3 linked regions of the Diceros bicornis minor genome follow. The protein of the gene in region 2 purifies or fractionates together with the protein of the main gene of each other region. This does not show direct contact. Links are inferred from orthologs where the notes say so. Each region holds a gene or a part of one and is shown on either strand. Other genes may lie near its edges.

The links. Proteins that work in one complex are often made in the same cells at the same time.
Region 1: the proteins of G3BP2 (region 2) and CAPRIN1 purify together in Homo sapiens (affinity purification with mass spectrometry; 5 studies listed by BioGRID and IntAct, with this or other methods). This does not show direct contact. The link is inferred for Diceros bicornis minor from reciprocal best matches to the Homo sapiens genes G3BP2 and CAPRIN1.
Region 3: the proteins of G3BP2 (region 2) and AURKB purify together in Homo sapiens (affinity purification with mass spectrometry; 3 studies listed by BioGRID and IntAct, with this or other methods). This does not show direct contact. The link is inferred for Diceros bicornis minor from reciprocal best matches to the Homo sapiens genes G3BP2 and AURKB.

The regions. Positions count from the first base shown.
Region 1 is NC_080770.1:34,299,834-34,306,921, forward strand, and holds the start of CAPRIN1 (caprin-1), read right to left. Parts: upstream 3,003-7,088; 5' UTR 2,931-3,002; intron 2,509-2,930; coding exon 2,296-2,508; intron 1-2,295. UniProt on the Homo sapiens protein: mRNA-binding protein that acts as a regulator of mRNAs transport, translation and/or stability, and which is involved in neurogenesis, synaptic plasticity in neurons and cell proliferation and migration in multiple cell types.
Region 2 is NC_080747.1:61,142,342-61,150,057, forward strand, and holds the start of G3BP2 (ras GTPase-activating protein-binding protein 2), read right to left. Parts: upstream 3,014-7,716; 5' UTR 2,931-3,013; intron 1-2,930.
Region 3 is NC_080757.1:10,205,468-10,213,250, reverse strand, and holds the start of AURKB (aurora kinase B), read right to left. Parts: upstream 3,003-7,783; 5' UTR 2,987-3,002; coding exon of another isoform or gene 2,939-2,986; intron 2,316-2,938; 5' UTR 2,014-2,315; coding exon 2,001-2,013; intron 1,554-2,000; exon of another isoform or gene 1,492-1,553; coding exon 1,389-1,491; intron 1,280-1,388; coding exon 1,175-1,279; intron 998-1,174; coding exon 806-997; intron 532-805; coding exon 393-531; coding exon of another isoform or gene 383-392; intron 283-382; coding exon 134-282; intron 1-133. UniProt on the Homo sapiens protein: Serine/threonine-protein kinase component of the chromosomal passenger complex (CPC), a complex that acts as a key regulator of mitosis.

The sequences.
Region 1 (7,088 bases), on a different chromosome or scaffold from region 2:
CAAAACTGACTTGTAAGTAAATCCTATTTTAGATGTATTAGAAATGCTCATTCACTACTGAAAAATGAATCAGTTAAATCTTTTCATACAGTAAATTATCCAGCTATAAAGAAAATTTCAATTTAAACTAGAAGCCAGATGTGCTTAGAGAAAAATTCAAACGCCCTTGAGTTTCTCAAAACATAGTTTGTTTTAATAGTAATTAAGTCACAACATCAGTACTGGCAACATAACTATTTAACGAGTATGTAGCTCAGTCTGTGAGTTATCAAAAAGCCTCAAGTAACTGTAATTTGACCTTTCCACTTTACTATCTAGCACCCAAAACACCGACAGAAAAGATGATATGAAATACATTTGTTATTTTGTAAAATGTCCATCATTACAAGGGAATTTTTCAGTACTTACTAGCCTAGTCTATAATCTCTGTAATAATAATTACATTACTTTCTCCTTTATAATGATGGGGGGGCGGGGGATGGACACAACTAGGCAACGTACAGCAGTACAAACCTATAGACAGGAGAGACCCATCATGGTTCAGGCCCTCAAGGGACTTATAAACTAGATTTCTATTCTTTTCAAATACACTTGAACACTAGAATCTAATAATCACCTCACAACTAAGCTGGCTGCTACTCAGTGCCTGACTTTATATTAATGCCTTTGAAAGAAATACTTTTCAGTGATTAAAATATAAATATGTATACTAAAATGACTCTGTGTAAAATATATCATTAATTAATTAATTACATCTTCTGATTCCCATCCTCGAAGAAAACAGATTCCTAGGAATTCTGAAAATTAAACCATTCAGGCATCAGCCAGATTGACAGGATTGTTTACTGCATTAAGAGGTTTTAAAGATACCTAAGCCTCAATTTCAAATAGAGTGGCAAAAACTAAAACAGATGGCAGACACAGAACCAGAAGATACTAGCCTTGGGGCATGTTTATTCTGTTACATACTTGAATATAGCTACTTTATAATTAAAATACTTTTGTTGCTTGGTCGATGTTGATAAATCTATAACTTCAATCATTTATAATAAACCACACTTGTTCTTCAAAATAAAAGATAAGCAAAAAGTAGAAACCCACGATTAGTGCATCTCTCAATTTCAAAAAGTCCAAGAAATTCAAATAAAATTCCCAATACAGAAGGAGACAGAGAAGTAACAAATCTAAAAATGTTTATGATTTTAAACTCCCCCAAAATGTAAAATAAATCATTAAACAAACAATTAAGATAATTAAGGCCTAAATGTCATCAGTTTTCGTCAAGTTATTTCCCACAGTCGAAATTTCAGCCTAACAGTTACTATCTCAACGTTTTAAGTACCACTATTAGGTGGCTGGCTAAACACTGTAAACATTTTTAAATGATTTCCTCAAAATTAAAGATGCTATGCTGGTGATTTGTTTTTTCCTTTCCACCCCAATCTTACTGAAGGCTGAATTATTCCCTCTGCCGAGACCCTTTCCCCATACGTGCACACACGCGCACACGCACACACGTGTCCCCCTACACAGAGTCGGTACCCTGTGCTGCGCGGAGAGCACACAACAAAAGGCCGACTTGCAGACAGACCCCCCGGTGCGACCTGGAAGGGCCAGATACTGAACGGCAAGATTGCGGGCGTGGTCGGCTTCGGAGGGGCGCTGCCCGGCCTGCCCTCCCCCGCTTTCGCTTTGTGCTCACAATGCGGCTCCGCGAGCTTCCCTCTCCCCGCCGCCGCCATGTTAGCCGCGCTCCATGTGCCCGGGCCGGCGCCCCTCCGTCCCCGCACCGCCGCACCTCCCCAGTCGTCCCCGTCGCCCCCCGGCCCTCTCCAGAGTCCCGGGGACAAAAGGCCGCTGCAGACACGCTTCTCGGGGCCGGGCCGAGCGCGCGGCTCGGGGGCACCTAGACAATTGGAACAAAGAGGAACACGCAGGGGCGCCCCTCGGATGGGGGCGGGGAGCAGATCGAAGACGCCCCAAAAGGGCCCGATGGGGGAAGCGGCTCTGGTTTGGGACCCTGAACACGTCCGCCCGTCTCCCAAGAGAGAGGAGCGGGCAGGCCTCGAGCGCACGGGAGCGGCGCGGTCAGCCCGGCTCCACGAGGCAGCGCCGAGCCCGAGCCCGCGGCCCCCTGCCGCCCCGGCCCCGCACAGCCCACTCCCCGACCCGAAGGCCGCCCCGGCAGGAGGAGGAACGGAGGCCCGGGCAGCGCCGCGGCCGGGCAGCTGACAGCGCCGCCCCGGGGCCCGCTTTCCGGGGACGGGAGAGCCGCCCGGCCCACCCCTCCCGCACCTTCTTCTTCTCCAGGTTCCGCAGCTTCTTGTCGATCACGCCGAGGATCTGCTTCATGGCCTCCGTCTGCACGGCGCCCGTGCCGCTCGCGGGGTGCTGGGCGGCCGGCGCCGTGGCCCCGGCCCCCGCCGCCGCCTCGCTGCCGGAGGAGCCCGCCGGGGGCGGCCCGGACGACCTGCTGCCGCTGCCGCTGTGGCTGGTGGCCGAGGGCATCTTCAGACGGCGAGGGAGACGAGAAAGAGCGGGAGGAAGGACGAGAGGCCGGTCAGGCGGCGGACGGGGCGAGACGCGGGACAAAACGCGCGGCGGAGGGCGGCTGCGCGCTGGGGGCGGGGACGGCGCCGCGGGGGCAGGAAGGGACGCGGCCGCGCGCCCCCGCCCGGCCACCCCCCGGCACCGGGACCCGCGCGGGGCGGGGCCTCGCCGCCGGCCGCCAACGGCCAGCGCAACGGTCCCCCGGCGGGGCCGACGCTCGCCGCCGTCCGGGGAGGGACGCAGGGGCGGCGGGGGAGGGGCGCGGCGGGGGAGGGGCACTGGGCTGACGGGGGCAGGGAGACGTGAGGGGCGAGCCCCCGCCGGGAAGGGACCCGGCGGCGGCCCCCGCCCCGCGGGCGCCTCGGCCGGCCGGCGCTCACCGTGCGCGCGCGGAGGCCGCTGGCGGTCCCGAGGGGGCGGGCGTGGCGCTGCGTTCCGGGCAGTGTCGCGCGCTCCGTGGGCGCAGGCCGCGTCGCGCTGTGCCCGCTGCACCGAGAGCCCCTGCCAGTGAGGCGCAGAGTCGAGCGGGAGGGAGCTCGCCGCCAGCCTCGGCGCGGAGGGCGGGGAGCGCAGGGGCCCTCGCGGGCGCGGGCTGCCCGGCGCGAACGCCTGCGGGGAGGCGCGGCGCGGCCCGGCCCGGCCCGGCCCGGCTGCCCCTGCCCGGCCGCCGCCCCGGCCCGGGCCCTGCCGCGGGGGGCCCCGGGGAGGCTGCAGGAGTGGGGTCTGGAGCTGTGAGCGGAATCGAAGTGAGGGTCCTTCAGGCGAAGTCGCTTGACGTCCAAACGGGGACAATAGGTGTCAAGCGGCTGGCTGTGGAGCTGGCGGCTGCCCCGAGAAGGGTCCTTACGTGGTGGGGGCGGGGGTGGGGGCAAAGGTCCCCGCCGGTGAGTGGTGCGCGAGGCGCTGGTGCGAACCCCGCTTCTAGAATGCCTTCTGGCTGCGGTCAGGTGGCCTCCCGCCCTGCACAGGGGCCGGTGCAGAGCGCCCGCTCGCCGCTTCCCCGCGGACACTCACCTGGGAGCTCCCTGTCGAACGCCTTGGAAGGAGCAAGATAGGTGGCATTTTGAAAGTCTTAAACCTCCCGACTCGTGTTAAAAGTAATCTTCAGCTACCGTAAGATGACATTTATCCAAGAGGCCTGAGGATTACGGATTAGGGTTTTCTTTCCTTTTGTTTTAGATTTTCCTAAAACTTTTAAGAGAATGTTGAATAAAATACAAAAGAAAATTTCTTTTGCTCCAAGAGAATTATTCGAGCCTTATAATTAACCTAGGGGCGGGGTGGGTGTGGACAGAAAATGAACCAAGTGCTGGAAGGAAATGTATTAAAGGGAGTCGTTAGCGGAAAACTCAGCGGCATAATGTTGTATGACAACAGTAAATGAGGGATTTACAATTGAAACTCCGTGAAAAGGGGATTTCGAAAAGGATGATACTAAACCCGCTGTTCCTTGGGGAAGAAAATGAGTAATACTGGTTGGCAGCAGTGTACCCTGAGGGAGCCTGGAGAAACAGCAGCGGTCTCCGGCCTCAGGACAGTCCGGTTAGCTGCAAAGTCGGTTATCGATTCATTCGAAGATTCCTTGAGCCCCTTACTATGTCTTAGGAGCTCTTTAGTGCCAGGGACTGTGAACAAAACAAACACCTCTGTCTTCATAAAGCTCACATTCTAAGTGGGGAGAAGATAAGTAGGTACGTGTCAGATAGTCAAGTGGTAGAGAGAACAGACGGGGTGGTCAGGAAAAGGCTTACTGAGGACATGTAAGCCGAGACTGACGGAAGTGAGAAGACCAAGCAGGTATCTTGGAGGGAGAATTTTCCAGGTGGAAGGAACACCAGGTGCGAGGAACTGAGATGGGAGTGCGCTTGGTGGGTTTAAGGAACATCGAGGAGGCCGCAGAGGCTAGAGCAAAGAATAGGAGCTGAGGTCAGAGACGTGAAAGGGGGCTGGCCTTGTAAGGCCTGGTAGGTGGCTGTAGGGCCTTGGGCTTCTGCTGAGTGAAATGGGCAGTCACAGCGTGCATAGCTTTAGCAGAGGAGTCACATGATCAACCTGTGTTAAAGAAAGCCTCTTGCTGCAATGTAGAGAATTTACTGTAGTGTGTGTTAGAGATGAGAGGAAGGGTGGAGAAGAGCAGGAGCTGGGGCCCAGTTAGGAGGCTGTTGAAATAATGCAGCCCAGAGATGGTGGTGGCCAAGGTCAGGGTGTTCACAGCAAAGGTGGGGACAGGTGGTTGGTTGCTTTACACATTATGGTAGTAGAACCAACAGGATTTGCTTAGCAGTTGTGTGTTAGGTGAGTGAGAAGTCAAAGCTGACCTAAGATTATTCAAGATGGAAGCACCTGAACTGTGTTTAGTGCTGCGCTAGACACTCTGCTAAGCCTAGAGGCTAGAAAGGAGGATTAGAATCCTTTAATTCCTTGCAGGTCTTAGTGTACTCAGCCTGACTACTGTCACTTTCAGAATCTCAGGCCCCACCCCAGACCTACTGCATTTTAACAAGAGCCTCAGCTGATTTGTATGCACGTTGAAGTTTGAACAACAATCTCTGCTTTATTCCTTAGAACTTGACCAATGTGCTTAAGACCAGACATGAAATACTCTACTAAGCAAATTTTCCCCAGACCTGCAGAATCAGAAACTCCGGGGGTGGGGCCCAGCAATCTGTGTTTTAACACGTCCTCCAGGTGATTCTGATGCACGCTGAAGTATGAGAACCAATGACTTGGAGACCTCTTATAATTAAAGTTTGAGCTGAAGAGGGCTTGTGATAAGGTGTGAGAAGGAGAGGCCTCTTCTGCCTTTCCTTGACTCGTTACACAGTAGCAGTTACCAAAGCATAAAGCTAAGTTAGGCTTTTCTTCAAGGAAAAAAGAAAGATTATTGAGGGAACGTGGTAGCTGACAACACGGATGACAAAGATCCTCAGTCGGAAGTCCGTCTCACAGCCCACAGTGTGTCAAGACACGCTAGGTTATGTTGCAGTAACAGTCCTGAGAGCGCTGTGACTTCAAACAGGGATCTGCAGACCAGAGTCTCGGGGCTGAGTAGCCCTCCATCTGTTTTTGTAAATCAAGTTTTGGGGACACAGCCGTATCCATTAATGTACGTATTTTCCATGGCCGCTTTCGTGCCACAGCAGAGCAGAGTTGAGTAGTTGTGACAGAGATGGTATAGTGTGAAAAACCTAAAATACTATTACACACTTTACAGAAGAGGTTTGCCAATCCCTGGCTTAAAACAACAAATGATACACATCCATCCATCTGAGGGCTCTGCTCAGAGTAGTCACTAAGTAGATTCAGGCTGATGGAGAAACCATATCTCAAGTGTTGATGATTACCATAAGGAAAGAGAACTGGGGAGTATCTCAAGTAGTCGATTAAATACTTCAAACAGGTAGAATTGCATCATGTGCACTCACACCTCATTGGCCGGAAAGAGTCACATGATCCCAGCCAACCAAGAGATGCTGTCCTATCAGATGCCTAGTAGGAAGCTAGGTGAACCGGAAACATTTGGTGAACATACATAGCTGTTGGGCTCTCACTTCCTACAATATGTCATCCCATCTGGTTTCCTTGGTGTTCTGACGTTCTTGCAGTTGTGTGATCAGGTCAGCAAGACCAGGAAGACTAATCAGTTTAAGGCAAAGTAGTGTCTTTAGTCTGACTTTCTGCCCAGCCCAATGCCATGGTCCCAGCAAACCAAATTTGTCTATTTCCTGTCTGACAAAAAGGGGACTGAAGCTATGTTTATGTGAATTTTTTAATACTTTACTGTAATCATTTTTTTTTTTACCTTTTTTCATAATCCAAACCCATGCAGTAGCTTCAGGTCATTGTATCACTGAAGAAATAGGAAAATTAAAGGGTTTTCCTACAAAACCAATAGGAGAGCAGAGTACATCTATAAATGAAAAACACTTTCTCCAAAAACCTTGGTTTTAAAGTTATCCCCAATGTTAACGTGTTGTTTTTTTTTGGGGGGGGGGAGGAGAGGAAGATCAGCCCTGAGCTAACATCCGTGCTAATCCTCCTCTTTTTGCTGAGGAGGACTGGCTCTGAGCTAACATCTATTGCCAATCCTCCTCCTTTTTTTTTTCCCCCAAAGCCCCAGTAGATAGTTGTATGTCATAGTCGCACATCCTTCTAGTTGCTGTACATGGGACGTGGCCTCAGCATGGCCGGAGAAGCGGTGCGTCGGTGCGCGTCTGTATCCGAACCCGGGCCGCCAGTAGTGGAGCGCAAGCGCTTAACCGCTAAGCCAGGGGTCTGGCCCCTTAACGTGTTTTAATAACACAGATCTCCCAAGCTGACGTTTGCTTGTTTAACTCATTAGACCACAGCACTCTAAGTCTCCACAGTCAAGTGAGTGAGTAATTGAACTTCTTATCCTGATCATGTTGGCAAAAGAGTTCAGCTGCTTCAACTTGAATCACCCAATAAGCTAACATTGAGTATATTTGTAGCTAAAGAGGGGACCTTGCATCTGAATTCCATTCACTGCCTCTCTGCCAGGTTGACAGTGAGAAGCC
Region 2 (7,716 bases):
GGGCAAATCTTCTTCACCAGAAAAAAAAAAAAAAAAACAGTGGTAGAAATAAATGATAAATGTTAGTTGTGAATTAAGCCTTATCTTTTCTCAAGCCCCAAAGGTAAGGAGGCAAGTTTTGAAGTCTAGAAGCTATTAAAAGTGACCAAGCATTAAGACACGGAAATGCTGTCCCACAAAAATAAAAGCATGTATTTATATTATGCTTTAAAGTTTAACAAGTAACCTACACATTCCTTTATCTCCCTGAAATAGGTAAGTTATTAGCTTCATTTACAGAAAATGAAACCAATGTTTAGAGAGCCTAAGGAAAGGAGTTCGAGGTCCCCCAGTTATAGTTATGAGAGAGAGGGTTTGAAATCAGGTCTCCTGCCTCTAGTGATGTTTTCACTACACCTGGTTAAGAACAACTGCTTTGGAAGAATAGCCAGGGACACAGAAATACAAAAAAACTTTAAAGTCCAACTGTAAGCATACTGATACTGTTGGGAGGAGCCAAAAGCACAGAACAGGAATGTAACAGGGAATCCAAGAGAGTCATACTACAATACCACAATCCATACTACAATCCAACATAGCTACCATGGTATATCAAAATAGGGTAAAATCTCCAGAAATTAAAAGATAAAAATAAGCTGAGGCAGCAATCAAGAAACTGATTCTACTGCTTCTGAAGCCAGTCCAGAGTTCTGGGAAAGGAACCAATTTGTTTTATCAGCTCTTAAGTTTCCACAGGGAGATTAACTAAGTTATGTTTGTCAATTAAATTCTACTGAATTTAAGTTCAGAAACAACCCTTAAGTTTGTACCTCTCAAAACCAGCCTTAAAAAAGGGTCATTCCCCACCTCCATACCCACTCAGCAAAAAATGCGGTAAAAAATCTTATTTAAAGCAACCTATGAAAGAATTTTCAATCCTGATAATGGTTAATCAACAGCAATAATTCTGCAGCATAAGGAAGCTGTTAAAAAACTAAAGGCACTATTAGTACTTATAGATTTCCAGTAACTGATATCGAAATTTTCATTTTTGACCTCTCAAGTGAAATTCCTGCTACCAACAGTGCCGATACTATTCAAAATCAAGAGTTGTCTTTTGACAAATCAACTGCTCAGCTGCTAACTAAATACTCAATTCGACTATCAAACTATTCAAGACTTATTTTTTTCTCCTTCCTTCTGTACTTCTGATCCCCATCCACCCCACAAGCATTCTGGTTCTCTTCACTCTCAATACTTGTTCTTCATTGACCAATACTTCAACCTCAAATATTCAACAACCTGAACCATAACAGCTCTTAGATAGTACGCAATCCACTGGAGGTCCTCATCCTCCCTACAATTCCTTAATAACCTTTCAAAATTAAACAGCCTCTAGAGATTAAATAACACAAGGATACACATGACTAATCCTAAAAATTTAAGAAAATAATATCACCAAAGAAACAACAAAATTCAGTTCCAAGAAGTTCAAACTAATCCTACGGTCCATTTTTTAACACCAGGAATTTTGGATATCAAAAGGACCACTGAATACTAACAGGGCCAAATGTTTACTTTGAAACTTCGTTCACACGCCTAAAGCTATATGAACTGCCAAATATGGAGCTGAACAAGGAATTCCTATCTTCTTCCCCTCCAGCATACGGGGCTTCCTAACTGCCGTTAATGGTTCACAGATCCAGGTACACGCAATGCTAACATTTGGACGACTAGCACGAATTGTGGAGCCCTGAACCTAAAAAACCAGCATTTTAACTGAAGTTAATATCACAACAATCATATGGGGGGGGAAAGAGGAAACAACTTTGCTATTATTCCAGCTTTGGTGCACGTGGGTTTTGTTGTTGTTTTGTTTTAAAGAGAGCAAAGGCACGGCACCTCCCTTCCAAAAAAAAAAGAAACCTGTTAAGAAAACTAGATATACCTTAGAGGAAAAAAACTGATCTATGCGGAAAATGGTTGATGCAAATCTATATTTGCTCCAAAGCGGCACAGGGACATCTTAGGAAATCTGCTTATAGAGAAGCAGGTAAAATTCCATCATATTCGACTAATAAAATCAACACAATTCAGGGAAGCGTATATTCCTCCTCTTGACCATCCTTTCTGTTCCCCCCCAAAAAAGTGGAGAAAGAGGGAAACAAAAAAACCCATTTCCCAAAGCACTCAAACATCTTTTCGATTCCTGGGTCAATAAGGGAACGTTTGCATAAAAAGGGCACGAAGAAGGCGTTACGTTATATGTAATTCGGATCTCTGAGCACGTTCGGGATAAACCCGAGGGGAGTCGAAGACCACGGACCACTAGATACTGGATAACCAGAGCGGCGACTACCTTCAAACCCGGATTCTGTTTCGGTGCACAGAAATGGTGCCCGGAGGCCGCTACTTTCGCATCTGCGTCGCTTCTGCCTCCGCCGACACAGCCTCTTGTCCCCTCCCCCACGGGCGGGGCGGCGACGGCCTCTCCGCTCCCAGGGAACCGGCAATAAGAGACGCAAATGAGTCGGAAAGAAGGCTGGTGGGCTCCACACCCTAAAACATCCTCTCCAGAAAACCCACTCCGCACGTCCCACATTAAGCCTGCATCAGCGCGCCTTTGGGAGCCGCTGCGTCCCCCTTCCCAGCTCGCCACCTCATCCCCAACAGACCCCGGCCCCACCTGTGCCCTCAGGGCCCTCCGTCCGCACAACGCGGGCCGGCCGCTTCCCTTCCCACGCGGCCTCCCATCCTTCACCTGAGAGGAACGGCTCGGCTTCTCTCAAGCACACACGGCAGCGTAGGCAGCCGGCAAGAACAATGTCTCGCTCTGCCGCAACACCTCTGACAGCAGGGCTCACGGGACGGTTGCCTCGAGCCGCGGCGCGCGAAGGGAATGTCCCCTTCCGACCACCACACCGACCTCCCTTCCCGGCCCCCGTACACACCTCCAACCAACAGTGGGAGGGGGTACGTCGGCGCCGAGATCAGCAGGAGAGTCGCCGAGGACCGGCTGCCGCGGATTCTTCTCGCTTGCCGCCTCCCCCGTCCGCCAAACCTCAAGCCTCGGAAGCCGGAAAGCCGCGAGCTCGCTTCCCTTACAACCACCTCTTCCCGGGGGCCAGACGCTGCGGCGAGCGACAAGGAACACGGACGTCCCGCCCCCTTTTCCACCGCCCCCTCTTATTGTTTTACCCCTGCCGAAAGGCCTGGGGAACCCCCCAGCACGGCTTCAGCCAATCACACATCTCCTTCGCGAGCTGGACCCAACCTTCTCGCGTCCCTCTGCGAAGCACGCGCAGAACGCCGCCGCGCTCACGTACTCTCGCGCCCGGAAAGTCGGGGAACCGGAACCGGCCTCAAGCCGGGGCGAGAGTCCGCTGATTTGACGTCACAAGGGGGCTGCCTTTCTACTGCTCCTGCCTCGCCGCTCTCGAGATCGCGCGTGAACAGGAGCCGGTTCGCTGCTGCGCTGTCTTTTGGAGACCGATATTTCTGGTTCCTTTTGATTATTAATGTGATGAGGGAGAGAATTTAGTAATTTTCTTTCTGAACTAGGCGTCTGCAGGTTGCTGCTGTAGACAAGCATAAAATGCAGCCAGTGGTTTCAGCTGTTTGCACCCTAAACTCATCTATAATTGTTTATTAACCCGTCCTAGGATATGGATGTTTTAAGTTCCACCGAGAAGGTCAAATTCATCCTAACAGCTCAAAATAATATATATTACAGGGCCTACTGGGTGCTAGGCCGTGGGATGTAGAGAAAATAGGACGTGGCCTCCACAGAAGGGAAAAAGTCTATTTCTTTGCCCGTTCTGTACTTAGGTGTTGCTAAATACATACTAAGCATTTTACATACTAAGGCAGCTAAAAGGCTGAAATCCCAGGAGATACTGGGATTACAGCCCTGTCCTAGATCTAGGCCCAGGCTTGGCTCCAGGGTATAGCTGGGAAGACACTAGACACTGACTCTCCTGACCTTGATTCATGGAAAAAGCCAAATCGCCTTACAGTCAAGGAAGCCACTTTGCACCTTAGTTCTGGCAATGTTTCTCAGAGAATATCAAGACAGCAGAGGAATTTTGGGAGGAAATGGTGAAAGAAGTGAAAGGGCAATTAGGAAAGGAAATAGAACACATTTATTAAATGCCCATTCACCAAACATAGTGTGGGCATATGTATATACATTTCATTTGTTTTCTTCATAATCCTGTAGGAGCAATTTTAAGGTATTTTTCACATGTGAAAACTGAGGTTTACAGAGGCAACGCCAACATCTGAACCTCCAAAATTTACATTGTTTTTACCTTAGGTTGCTTAATCATTTTGTTATATGCAAAATATATGGGCTATCACTTTTATGAAATGAAATTTGACATGTTTTTCTTTAAAGCATCATAATACATTACATACAGATTGTCCTTTAAATCTGTTACTTATGTACCAGGCACTCTTTTACTTATGTAATTGTTTGAGCCTCACAATAACCCTATAAAGTCGTTACTATTTTTATGCCTGTTTTACAGATGAGGAAACTGAGACTCAGAGAGGTAAGTAACTTGCCCAAGGTCACAAGCTACTGTTTGGTGGGGCTGGGATTCAAACACAAGCAGTCTGCCTTCACACGCCATGCTGTTAACCACAAGCTATAAAATACTCTTATTGTGTTAATTGCCACAACTTATTTATCTCCTCTACTGTTGATGACATTTCAGTTGTTTCCAGTTTGGGGCTCTTATGCGCACCATGTCTCCTGGTGGGCAGGTACAAAAGTCTCTAGAGCAGTGGTTCTCAGAAATTAACGTGCATCAGAATCACCTGGAGAGCTGGTTAAAACACGGATTTCTGGACCCCACTCCCACTCTGATTCAGCAAGTCAGCGTTGAGGCCTGAGAATCTGCATTTCTAACAGATTCCAGGTGCTGCTGCTGCTGCTCTAGGAACCACACTTTAAAAACCACTGAGGGGGGACCGGCCCGGTGGCGAAGCAGTTAAATGCGCATCCTCCGCTGCGGCAGCCTAGGGTTCGGATCCCTGGCGCGCACCGACACACCGCTTGTCAAGCCATGCTGTGGCGGTGTCCCATATAAAGTAGAGGAAGATGGGCACAGATGTTAGCCCAGGGCCAGTCTTCCTCAGCAAAAAGAGGAGGATTGGCAACAGATGTTAGCTCAGGGCTAATTTTCCTCACACACACACACACACACACACAAAATAAATAAATAAAAACCACTGAGGGGCCAGCCCGGTGATGTAGTGATTAAGTTTGCATGCTCCACTTCAGCGACCTGGGGTTCACGAGTTCGGATCCCAGGTGTGGATTTACACACTGCTCATCAAGCCATGCTGTGGTGGCATCCCACATACAAGATCGAGGAAGGCTGGCACAGATGTTACAGGGACAATCTTCCTCAACGAAAAAAGGAAAAAAAAAAAGAGGAATATTTTCCTCTTTGGAACAGATGTTAGCTCAGGGCCAAGCTTCCCCACCAAAAAAAAAAAACCCTGATCTTGGGCTGGCCTGGTGGCGTAGTGGTTCAGTTCGCATGCTTTGCTTCGGCAGCCCAGGTTTTGCAGGTTCGGATCCTGGTCACGGGCCTACACCATGCATCAAGCCATGCTGTGGTGGTGTCCCACATACAAAGTAGGGGAAGACTGGCACAGATGTTAGCTCAGGGACAGTCTTCCTCACAAAAAAAACCAACACTGATCTATAGCATGGGTTGGCAAACTTACACCATAAAGGAGCACATAGTAAATATTTTACATTTTGGGGGCCACAAATGTTCTCTGTCACATATCCCATCTCCCCCATTTTTTAATCCTTTAAAAATATAAGAAATATTCTTAGCTTAGTTCTAGGACTATACAAAAACAGGCCTCAGGCAACTCCTGCTCTAGGGTATATACCAATAAGTGGAGTTAATGGGAAAAAAGATTCAGCTACTTCAAGTTTAGTAAAAAACCCTAAACTGTTTTCCTAAGTGGTGATTTTTACTTCCTAAATGTCTCTCAAGTCTGTCCCCTCTGAATGACTCTCCATACTTAGAGGCTCTGCTCAGGTTCAAGCCTCTTTCATCTTTCCTGAATGATTACAGTAGCCTCCTAACCAATCTCCCTGCCCTTTAAAGATAACCTCCATGAAAGAGTGCCTCCCCTAACGCTGTAAAGCAGGGAGACCAGTATGAATTGTATTCATTCCAGTGGTTCAAGCCAAAAACCTTTAAGTTACCCTTGACTGTCTTTTTCTCACAGCACACAGCCAATCATCAGTAAATTTCTGTTCCTCTACATTCAACATTTATTCTGAATTAAGCACTTATCATTTTACTGCTATTATTGTAGTCCAGGCCACCATCACCTACTGCAACAGCCTTCTACTTGGTCTCCATGCTTCCACTCTTATTCTGCTATAGTCTGTCCTCACAGCGACCAGATCCTTTACAGCTATAAATCAGATGACATTCTCAAAACCTTCCAAAGGCAACACAATAAAATCCCAAGTCCTTACCGTAGCCTACAAAGGCTACTTGATCTAGTCCTTACCTATTACTTGCACCTCTTTTCTTACCACTGTTTCTCTTATACACCCCAGCTCTACTTTTGACACTCCAATCACATTCCCAACCCAACATGGGCCTTGGATGTGAGCCCTTACCAAAAGTCTGTGAAAAATCAAAGTAAACTGTATCTACTGATTTCCCCAAGCACTTCTATTCAAATATCTCACTCATCCATTCTAAAGGTTAAGTTAGGTATGATTTTCCTTACACAAACCACCCTTCTTAGAATTGCAATTAACCTAATACTGCTTAAATAGTCTACTAGCTTGTCTAAGCTGTATTCTGTGGTTATTTTGTATTCTCTATATATTATGTAGTTCCTAGGTTCTCTTCTACATTGTTTTTTTTTTTTAATAAATATAAGTCAAATGGTAATCTACGAGTTGTCTCACAGAGCATCTACTTACTAATAGCTTACAGGATTCTTTAAAACTCCTGGATTCATTCATTCAGTAGCCACCGCTGAGTGCCACTGTATCAAGCAGAGCACTAGGCTCAGGATGAGGCAAAAATAACTGAAACATAGTGTCTTCAGGGAATTGGAAAAGGGAGGGAGGGAGGGAGAGAAAGAGAGCAAGAGGAGGAAAGAGAAAAACAGAAAAAGACAAGAAGACATAGAAAAAGAGGGAGAGTCAAAGAAAGACAGTAGGGAGACAATGACACTAGAGGGTACTGCCAAGTGATATTACACTGGGGATACCGAAGAGCACTTTGTACTTCTCCTTCATAACACTGATTGAATTTTTAAATTTATAATTTGAATTTATAGTTTAAAATATCTGATAATCCCCCCCATCTCTTTTGAGTGCACGCACACGCGTGCACACACACAGTGTAAGCTCCATGGGAGAAGAACTCCTGTTCGCCTCTCCGATCCAGCACCTGGTACTGGCCCACTGAAAGTGCTCCCTAAGGTGCTCCATAAAGTGGCTGAGTGACCAATGTGAGACCACAGAGGGAGGCACAACAGTCCTTCTCGTGGGCTTCTAGTATTTTTGATATTTTTGCCCTAACTTCTAGAACAGAATATGATTTATTTTTATTCTTTTTTTGATTAATAATAATAGTTTTTAAGACTGCGGATTTTTCCTTGCCTATAGTTTAGGCCACATCCCACAGGTTTTATTCACTACCTTTGTATTCTAAATAGTTTGGAAGTGTAGTTTAGATT
Region 3 (7,783 bases), on a different chromosome or scaffold from region 2:
TTTTGTAAAGATATTGCTGTGTCTATGTTTACATGAGGCCAGACCCAAATGTCTCTGGGTAACAACATGTGGAGTGGTTTTATTTTGAATGTCCCAGCCTCATACCCATGGCTGGCCTCCTGTCCCACCGTACCTCAGGGAGGGCGCGTGCACCGACCAGCCAAAGTCCGCAATCTTCAGCTCTCCCTGGAGCCCCAAGAGCAGATTCTCTGGCTTTATGTCCCTGTGAATCACCTTCTTCCCGTGGCAGTAGATCAGAGCATCTGCCAGCTCCTCCATGATCTGGGAGGGCCAATGACAGGCGATTAGACAAGGATGGACCTCTAGCTGCAAGCAGCGTACCCCTAGCCTCAGGCCCCCTGCCGGCGCTCCAGGTGCCCACCCGCCCCGACCGTGGCTGTTCGCTGCTCGTCAAAAGTGCGGCTCTTCTGCAGCTCCTTGTAGAGCTCCCCCCGGGGGGCATACTCCAGAATCAAGTAGATCCTTCGCCGGTCGTAGAAATAATTGTAGAGACGCAAGATGTTGGGATGCCTGGGAGAAGAGACAGGAGGGCTGAGGCTGCATCCTGGCATAAGGAAATGGGAAAGATGACAGGTCTCATATGGGGCAAACTGGGGTCAGACGTGGGCCAGGCCGGGGACACGAGGGCTGGCCCTGGCAAGGGGGACGTGGAGACAGCTCTCTGGATTGAGAGCTCAATGGTGCTAAATGGCCACAGCTATAGGGAAAACTCTAGATGTGGTGGGGTTGAAAGAGCTGGGGGGAGGGAGCAGGGGGCTTGGGCTCAGAGGGCGTTGGCCCGTACTGCAGATGGGCCTGGATTTCGATCTCCCTGCGCAGCTGGTGTTCCACGCCCTCCTTCTCTATCTGAGACTTGAAGAGGACCTTGAGTGCCACGATGAAATGGCTCTTCTTCTCCCGAGCCAAGTACACATTTCCAAACTTGCCTTTGCCCAGAGGACGCCCAATCTCAAAGTCATCAATCGTGAAGGACCGCCTGATTAGAGAGTGGGGGGAAGGCAGCTGAGCACTGGTTTGTGGGTTGCCTGAGGTGTTTGCTTTCCCCCTGCCCTTCAGCTCCATTTCTCTTTGAAGGAAGTTGAGAATGGATCAGGCTTTCTTGCCCCCGCCCCCACACCTCCTGCCCTTAGCTTCTCCCTCCCTCATCTCCTACCTGTTCACTGTCTCCCTCTTCTCTTGCCGCCCCAAGGCTTGGGCACTTACATTAACAAGTTGGGCGTCCCACTGCTGTTCTCCACCACCTTCTGGCCAAGGGCAGCTTGGAAAGAACAGTTAAGTTGAGGCCCTCCCTTGACATTTTCATCCCTGCACCCTCCCCGTAGACTCTAGTCCTCTCAAGTCAATCCCCTCCCCGCTGTTGCAGTTACCTGTGGGCTGGGCATTGGAGCGGCTCATGAGGACAAGTGCAGATGGGGTGACAGGCTCCTTCCGGAGGACTCTCTGGGGCAGGGTGTTCAGGCCAGACTGAGCCTGAGAAGGAGCAGGAGGGAGCTCTGAGGGTGTCTTTGTCTCAGCGGCCGGGTTGGAATGTGCTGCAAGCAGCATTTCAGTGCTTTCTATAGAGCCACCCACCCACCCATCCCCACCTCAAAGAGGAACACTGAGACAACAATTTTGCTACTCAGCCCCAAGACTCTGCTCAGAGCCCCATATTAAAATGGGTTCTTAATAAACAACATAAGTTGGCCCAAGATAAAGAGCAAAGGACTTAACGCAACACTGAACATTTCACCTCTTTGGCCCTGGCCCACACCACATTCTCAGGCATGAAGCTGTCCAACCTCTGTAGTCCTGTCTGCAACACCACTCATTTACCCAGCCCCCACCCCTGGGGGCTGCAGAGGGCTGGGGTAATGAACACCCACAATTCAAGGTGCTAAAGCACAGAGGCATTCTCATAGCCCCTAAAAAGCTCAGTCTATTAAGGCTTACACAGGGTCCTTGAGGCCTTGAATGTTGCAGCAAATATCAGTATGTACCCCTTTGCAACATCAGGCTTTAGGGACGCTGAAGGCTACTGTGATGGCCTTGGACCACTTCTCACATTCAACTTCTGAGTAATATACATAACTTCCTTTTGGGAGTGACCGAGGTAGAAGTGACAATGGTTTCTCATTCAGCCTCCACTCTTGATAGCCTCACTCAGTGCTCCACAAGGGAGGGAACTGGTGGACACAGCGACAGACGGATGCTACGGGAGATCTAAGCCCCACCAACAGGGAGCAAAGCCTGTGCAGGGCCCCTTCTTTCTTCTTTAGCCAAGAGGGGAAGAAAGCCTCAGTGCCCCTTCAAACCTGTTCCCAAAGAGTGGTATTAGAACAGAATTTACAAATAAGCAAGTTGAACAAAATAGAGTCCAGAAACAGACCCACATATATGTGGGAATCTAATATATATAAAAAAGGTAGCATTTCAAATCAGAGGGTAGACTCTTCAATGAAAGGTGTTGGGACAACTGGAAAAGAAATCAATTTAGATCCTTAACTCACACCAGTCATTAAAATAAATTCCAAATTATTTAGACTTGTCTTGAACCTGTTAAACTTATAAGTTTATCTCAATCCTTCACGAGTCTATTTCTATGTCCTGCCTAGCCTATTTTTTTCAGGACAAAGGTTGGGAATCATGGCCTGAAGGCCAGACCCTGCCTGCTCTCTCCCAGATATCATTTGTATATGACAAGTAGGCTCAGCCCTGCAGGGGTCCTCACAGGCTGGTCAGATTCGAGTTGGCAGCACCTGACAGGATGTGGCTGCAATTGCCCAGACTGGGTTCGGCCAGCAAACTTTTGGGGCCCATACGTTGGAGCATAACCGAGAAGAAAGTGCTTGGAGGATCGCCCTCTGCAGGACCTCGAATCTGGAAGTAGGAACTCGCCATGCCGGTTTGGGGGGAGCGGAAGTGGGCATGCCCTTACCGTCTGCCTGCCGTAGGGCCAGGGGTAGGCGTTCTCCTTCTGGGCCATCCTTAGAGGGAAGCGGGGAGGAGAGCTGGGCAGAGAAAGGAACAGAACCGTGAGAAGCAGAAAAAAGGGAGCGAGAGAGGGAGGGGTCGGACCCATCTAGTCGGAAGCGCTTGCCTGGGGCTGGTGAAAGGGAGCAAGTCTACACGCTGGCCACATCAGGGCGCACCCGGGCGCTCGCCTGGCCGCCCCCGCCCTGCTACCGGCCCAGCCCCTTCCAGGACCCTCTCTCCACCCTTGAGCGCCCAGCAGCCGGCGGAGTGCGCGGGCCCGCCCAACGGACCCCCGACCTGCCTGATCACCTGCCCTCTCCCGGCGCAAGGCCTGCGAAAGGAGGGCAGCTCACCTGGAGCCCGTGGCACAGCCACTCTCCTGGCCGCTGGCAAACGACTCGCCCTGCCCAGCCGCGCCCCTGCCGAGTTCCTTTCAAATCTCCCGCCCTGGTCCCATTGGCTGAGCGGGCCGCCCATGTCCAATCCTCATTGGCTGGATGTCCCATGACGTAGCCCGCGGGGCCCCAATGGAAGAGACGAAATGCGAGCCGCAGCCAGCTCATGTTCCGGATTAGAAAAGTTTCCCTTATCCCACGATCAAATATTCTCATATCTTTCAAAAAATTTTTTGAATTTTAATATATCTGGAATCTATCCTTGTGTATGTATGATCTAGGGTCTAACTTTGTTTTCTGCCAGATGGAGAGCCAGTTATGCCAGCACCATTTGTTAAACAAACGACATCATTCCCAGCGGAATTTAAATGCTACCCTTGATATATTGTCGTCGTAGATAGTTGGATCTATTTCTGGACTCTGTATTCTGTTACATTGTTTGTTTGAAGGTATGTTTATTCTTGTGTCATTAATATTTTGTTCTGTAAAGTCTTTCACTCACTTTCCTAGTAGGAATTTTCCGTCAGCGGTCCTTTCTCTGCAGGTCCCCTGACCAAGGCCGCAGTGTTTGGACCGACTGTCACTTTTCTCCTTCCTGCCACGCTCCCTTCTTCTCTGCTCTTTCCGAGCCCAAATTTTATTATTGGGTTAAATAAATACATTTTGAGACGTTCTATGAAATAACTAGTGGATATTTGCAAGTATTGCCTGTCCAGTATCCTTCCTATTACTTTGAATAATAACACCCTAACTTTGCTTTAGGGCAACCACCTGTCTGCCTGTTCTGTGTTGTCGGTTTCTGTTGCTACCGGCCCCAAATCCCTAACTTGATGGGAGACCTATTGTGGTGGACACTGTGGTTCCCTACCCAGCGTCCATTCTCCCAGCGATTCCTACTTCCTGAAAGCACCTCAAGTTTTGGGTCTCAGAGGGAAGCTGACTCCATCCCAGGTCCAGGAGTGGACCCTGTCTGATTTACAACAGTCAGCACCTTTTATGCCAGGATCATGGTCACTGGTTCGGGGATAAGCATGTGAATTAAGTGGGCCAGTTAGTGGGAATTTTAGGATTCTTGTCCAGAATGCTGAGCAGAAACTCCTTTTCTCCTGCTGGAAGTGGGCAAGGAAGCATGCAGCCCTCATTGTTGCTGGTGGTGCTCCTGAAGGGAGCAGCCTGAGAATGAAGCTCACATTGCAGAGGGGAGAAGAGAGGCCTGGGAAGAACCCGAGACTTTGAGGACATTGTGGAGCCTCTGGATGCCTATTTCAGCACTTTCCTTACATGAGCTAATAGATTTCCTTCCCTAATGCATTAAGAGTTCTGTTATTTGCTGTCAAAAGCATACCGCTAAACTAAAAGATAAAACAGCCAGTTATTTTACCAGCAAAATGGTTTTTTTCAGGAACAGCAAAGTATTGCAAGTTGGGACAAGCAAGCTATAGCAAAAGCCATAGGCAAGGCCAACAATCAAAGAAGAGGAACATTATTTTATAAGGAAAAAGGAGGAAATTAGGAGGGGCTGTTTTGAATGCAAGTCCATTAGAGAAAAACAAAAGTTCAGAGTGATGATGGTTTCTCATTGGCTGAGTTGCTCCGTAGTCGATTTCCGTTTGGGATGAAATGTTTATTTCTTTGGGTAGAGGTCTGTGATTGATGATTTTTTCTGTTAGACTTCTTTCTGTTGGGGTCTGTAATTGAGATTCTTGCCTGTACTTGTACTTGACCTTGAATGGTACTGCATGAGAACTCCCCCTTCTGGCTTCCAGACTCCATTTTAAATGAGGTTTCCCTTTATTAATTTTCACAATACTAACTGACACACATCTACAGACCTAGAGTGTTCTTAGTTATTTAGGTTGAATGATGTGAAATTGCTGATAGTCAATCATTTTGACCTACAAAAGATACCAATTTCATATGATTCAACCAAATGTAAATCAAATAAGTCCTTATGGGTTTCCAGATCAGTTCATAATGCTTTTGGCTGCAAGTAAAAGAAAACTCAGTTAACAATGGCATAAACAATAGGGATCTATTTTCTTTTCCATAACAAGAAATCAGAAAGTTGGTAGTTGGTTAGGGAACAATGTTAGAGATCTGGATTGGCCTCTCTCTGATTCTCTTGACATTTCCCTTATGAGTGCAAGATGGCTGCCAACTGTCTCTGTCTCTTTTATCAGGAAAAGCAGAAACCTTTCTACAAGTACCCAATAGATTTCTCATTGGCCAGAATTGTGTCACATGACTGCTGCAAAGGAGGCTGGTAAAGTGAGTGAGGCTGGTAAAGTGAGTATCTCTTCTAGCCACTATGGTTAAAGCAGCAAGGGAGTGTGGTGGTAGGAATACAAGTGTGCCGCAATTGCTTATAATTTCATTCTGGGGACCCCATGATTAATTTAAAAAGTCAGATATCTGTGCATGATGAGGTATCTTCAGAGATTTGATGATCATGGCCACCCTGCTGCCATTTGTGAAAAATCATTTTACTTCTGGAGGTACACTGTTTTCCCTTAGGGTCAGCTTAACCCCACTTCCCAAGATCAGGGAGCCCATTTCGACTGCGGCACCTTTATCTACATACTTGGCATAGAGGGACTAGCCAATGAAGAGCTTTATAAAAATTCTATCCCTTGCAGTATACTTTATTCCTCAAGCCCTAGTGAAGGGAGACTTTTCTGGAACCTATAAGGTGAAATAGTACATGGGTGGGATATACCTGATTGATCCAATACAGTATCTGTGTCCCCTGGAGTCTTTAAATTCTTGCTTGCACATTATGTTAGAAGATATTTGGCCTTTCAGGAATATTTGATGGGCCAGCATAAAATCAGGATTTGCATTACTCATAAAAAACCAAACCAAACAAAAACTATCTGTTCTATCAGCTAGGCAACTATCAGCTGCCTGTTCAAGTCAGTGAACAAAACCTCTGTTATTTACCCCAGTGCTTCTCAAACAATCCGTGGGGAAGGACCAGTCTTGATTATTTTCAATCTATCACAGATCAATAATGTTATAAAATACACTAAAAATGAATTCCTTGAAAAACGAAATCTAAAAAATATAAAAATTACAATCCCACATTTTTTGGTATAATCAACGTATATAAAAGTACTCTGACAAATGCTGGAGGAGTTTTTAAATGCTTACTCTCAAATTCTAAACTCATCTTGGACTTGAAAGAGACAGTCCATGAAGCGGCACCAGTCTGTGGACCACACTTTGAATACTACCAGTCTACATCCATAGCAATAAATGCGGCCCTGCCCCAAATTATGCTTTGCTCTCCTTGGTCAGGCACACTCAAAACCCACTCTCCTGCGGATATTCCCCGGGTTTATAATGATGTAAATTAGCAATTTCCTCTGAGTGTAATTCTTTTGTTTTTTCCTCTTGCTTTGCTTTTTGCTTCCCAGTTCATGTTAGATGTGGATTCTGGCTACTGGCCAAGTAACAATGAGAGGTATCAGTGAGGGGGGATTGTCACTGTTCTCCTGCCAGGGCTGAATTTTCCTGTGACTGGGAAAGGTCAGAATGTTTCGTGTTCCGAAGGTCAGGCAGGATGGCTGGGATACTATAATGTTTGTGAGGCACAGATGTCAGCCTCTTTTATTTCTGACAATGGGACAACTCAAGAAGAAATTTCAAGACATGAATTTTCATCATCAGCCAATAAGCCCCTTCCAGGGATGAGGAGTAGACTCAGAAGGGTCTGGAAGGGGCTTGCTGGGGAAGCCTGGCTAATACCTCCACGTCTTCCCACTAAGTTGTCCTCATTAAGGTAAACCTGAGGCAATGCTGCTGAATTAAGTAGGGTGCCCTCCATCCAGACTTCCCTGAGCCTCCCCAGGTCAAACATCATTGCTGGGGTTTGCTCCTGGCTATTAGGTCCCAAGTGTTGGTCGTTGGTACAAACCACAAGCCTGGACCAAATGCGTCCCTGCCACAATGGCTGAAGCCTGAGGCCCTGCCCAGGTCCATTTATGTGTCCTCAGAGATTGGATCAGCAAGGCCAGTGCCCCTTGCCAGGTGACCAGACAACAAGCCTGTACCCTATGCCTTTGAGGCATTTTTTAAAACTTTTTATTGAAGTATACATACAGAAAATGTATAGCTGGATGAATTTTCCTAAACCGAACAACCCTGTGTAACCAACACCCAGATCAAGAAGCAGAATGTTTCCGGCACTTCAGGAGCCCCCTCATCCTCCTTTACCAGTCACTATCTTTCCCAAGAGTAACCACTATCCTGACTTCTAACCCATATACTAGCTTTGCCTGTTTTGACCTTTATACAAAAGACCTTCATACAGTATGTATTCTTCTGTCTGACTTCTCTCATTCAACATTATGTTTGTGAGATTTACCCATGTTGTTGATGTATTGATTTTTAAATATACATGAACATGATAA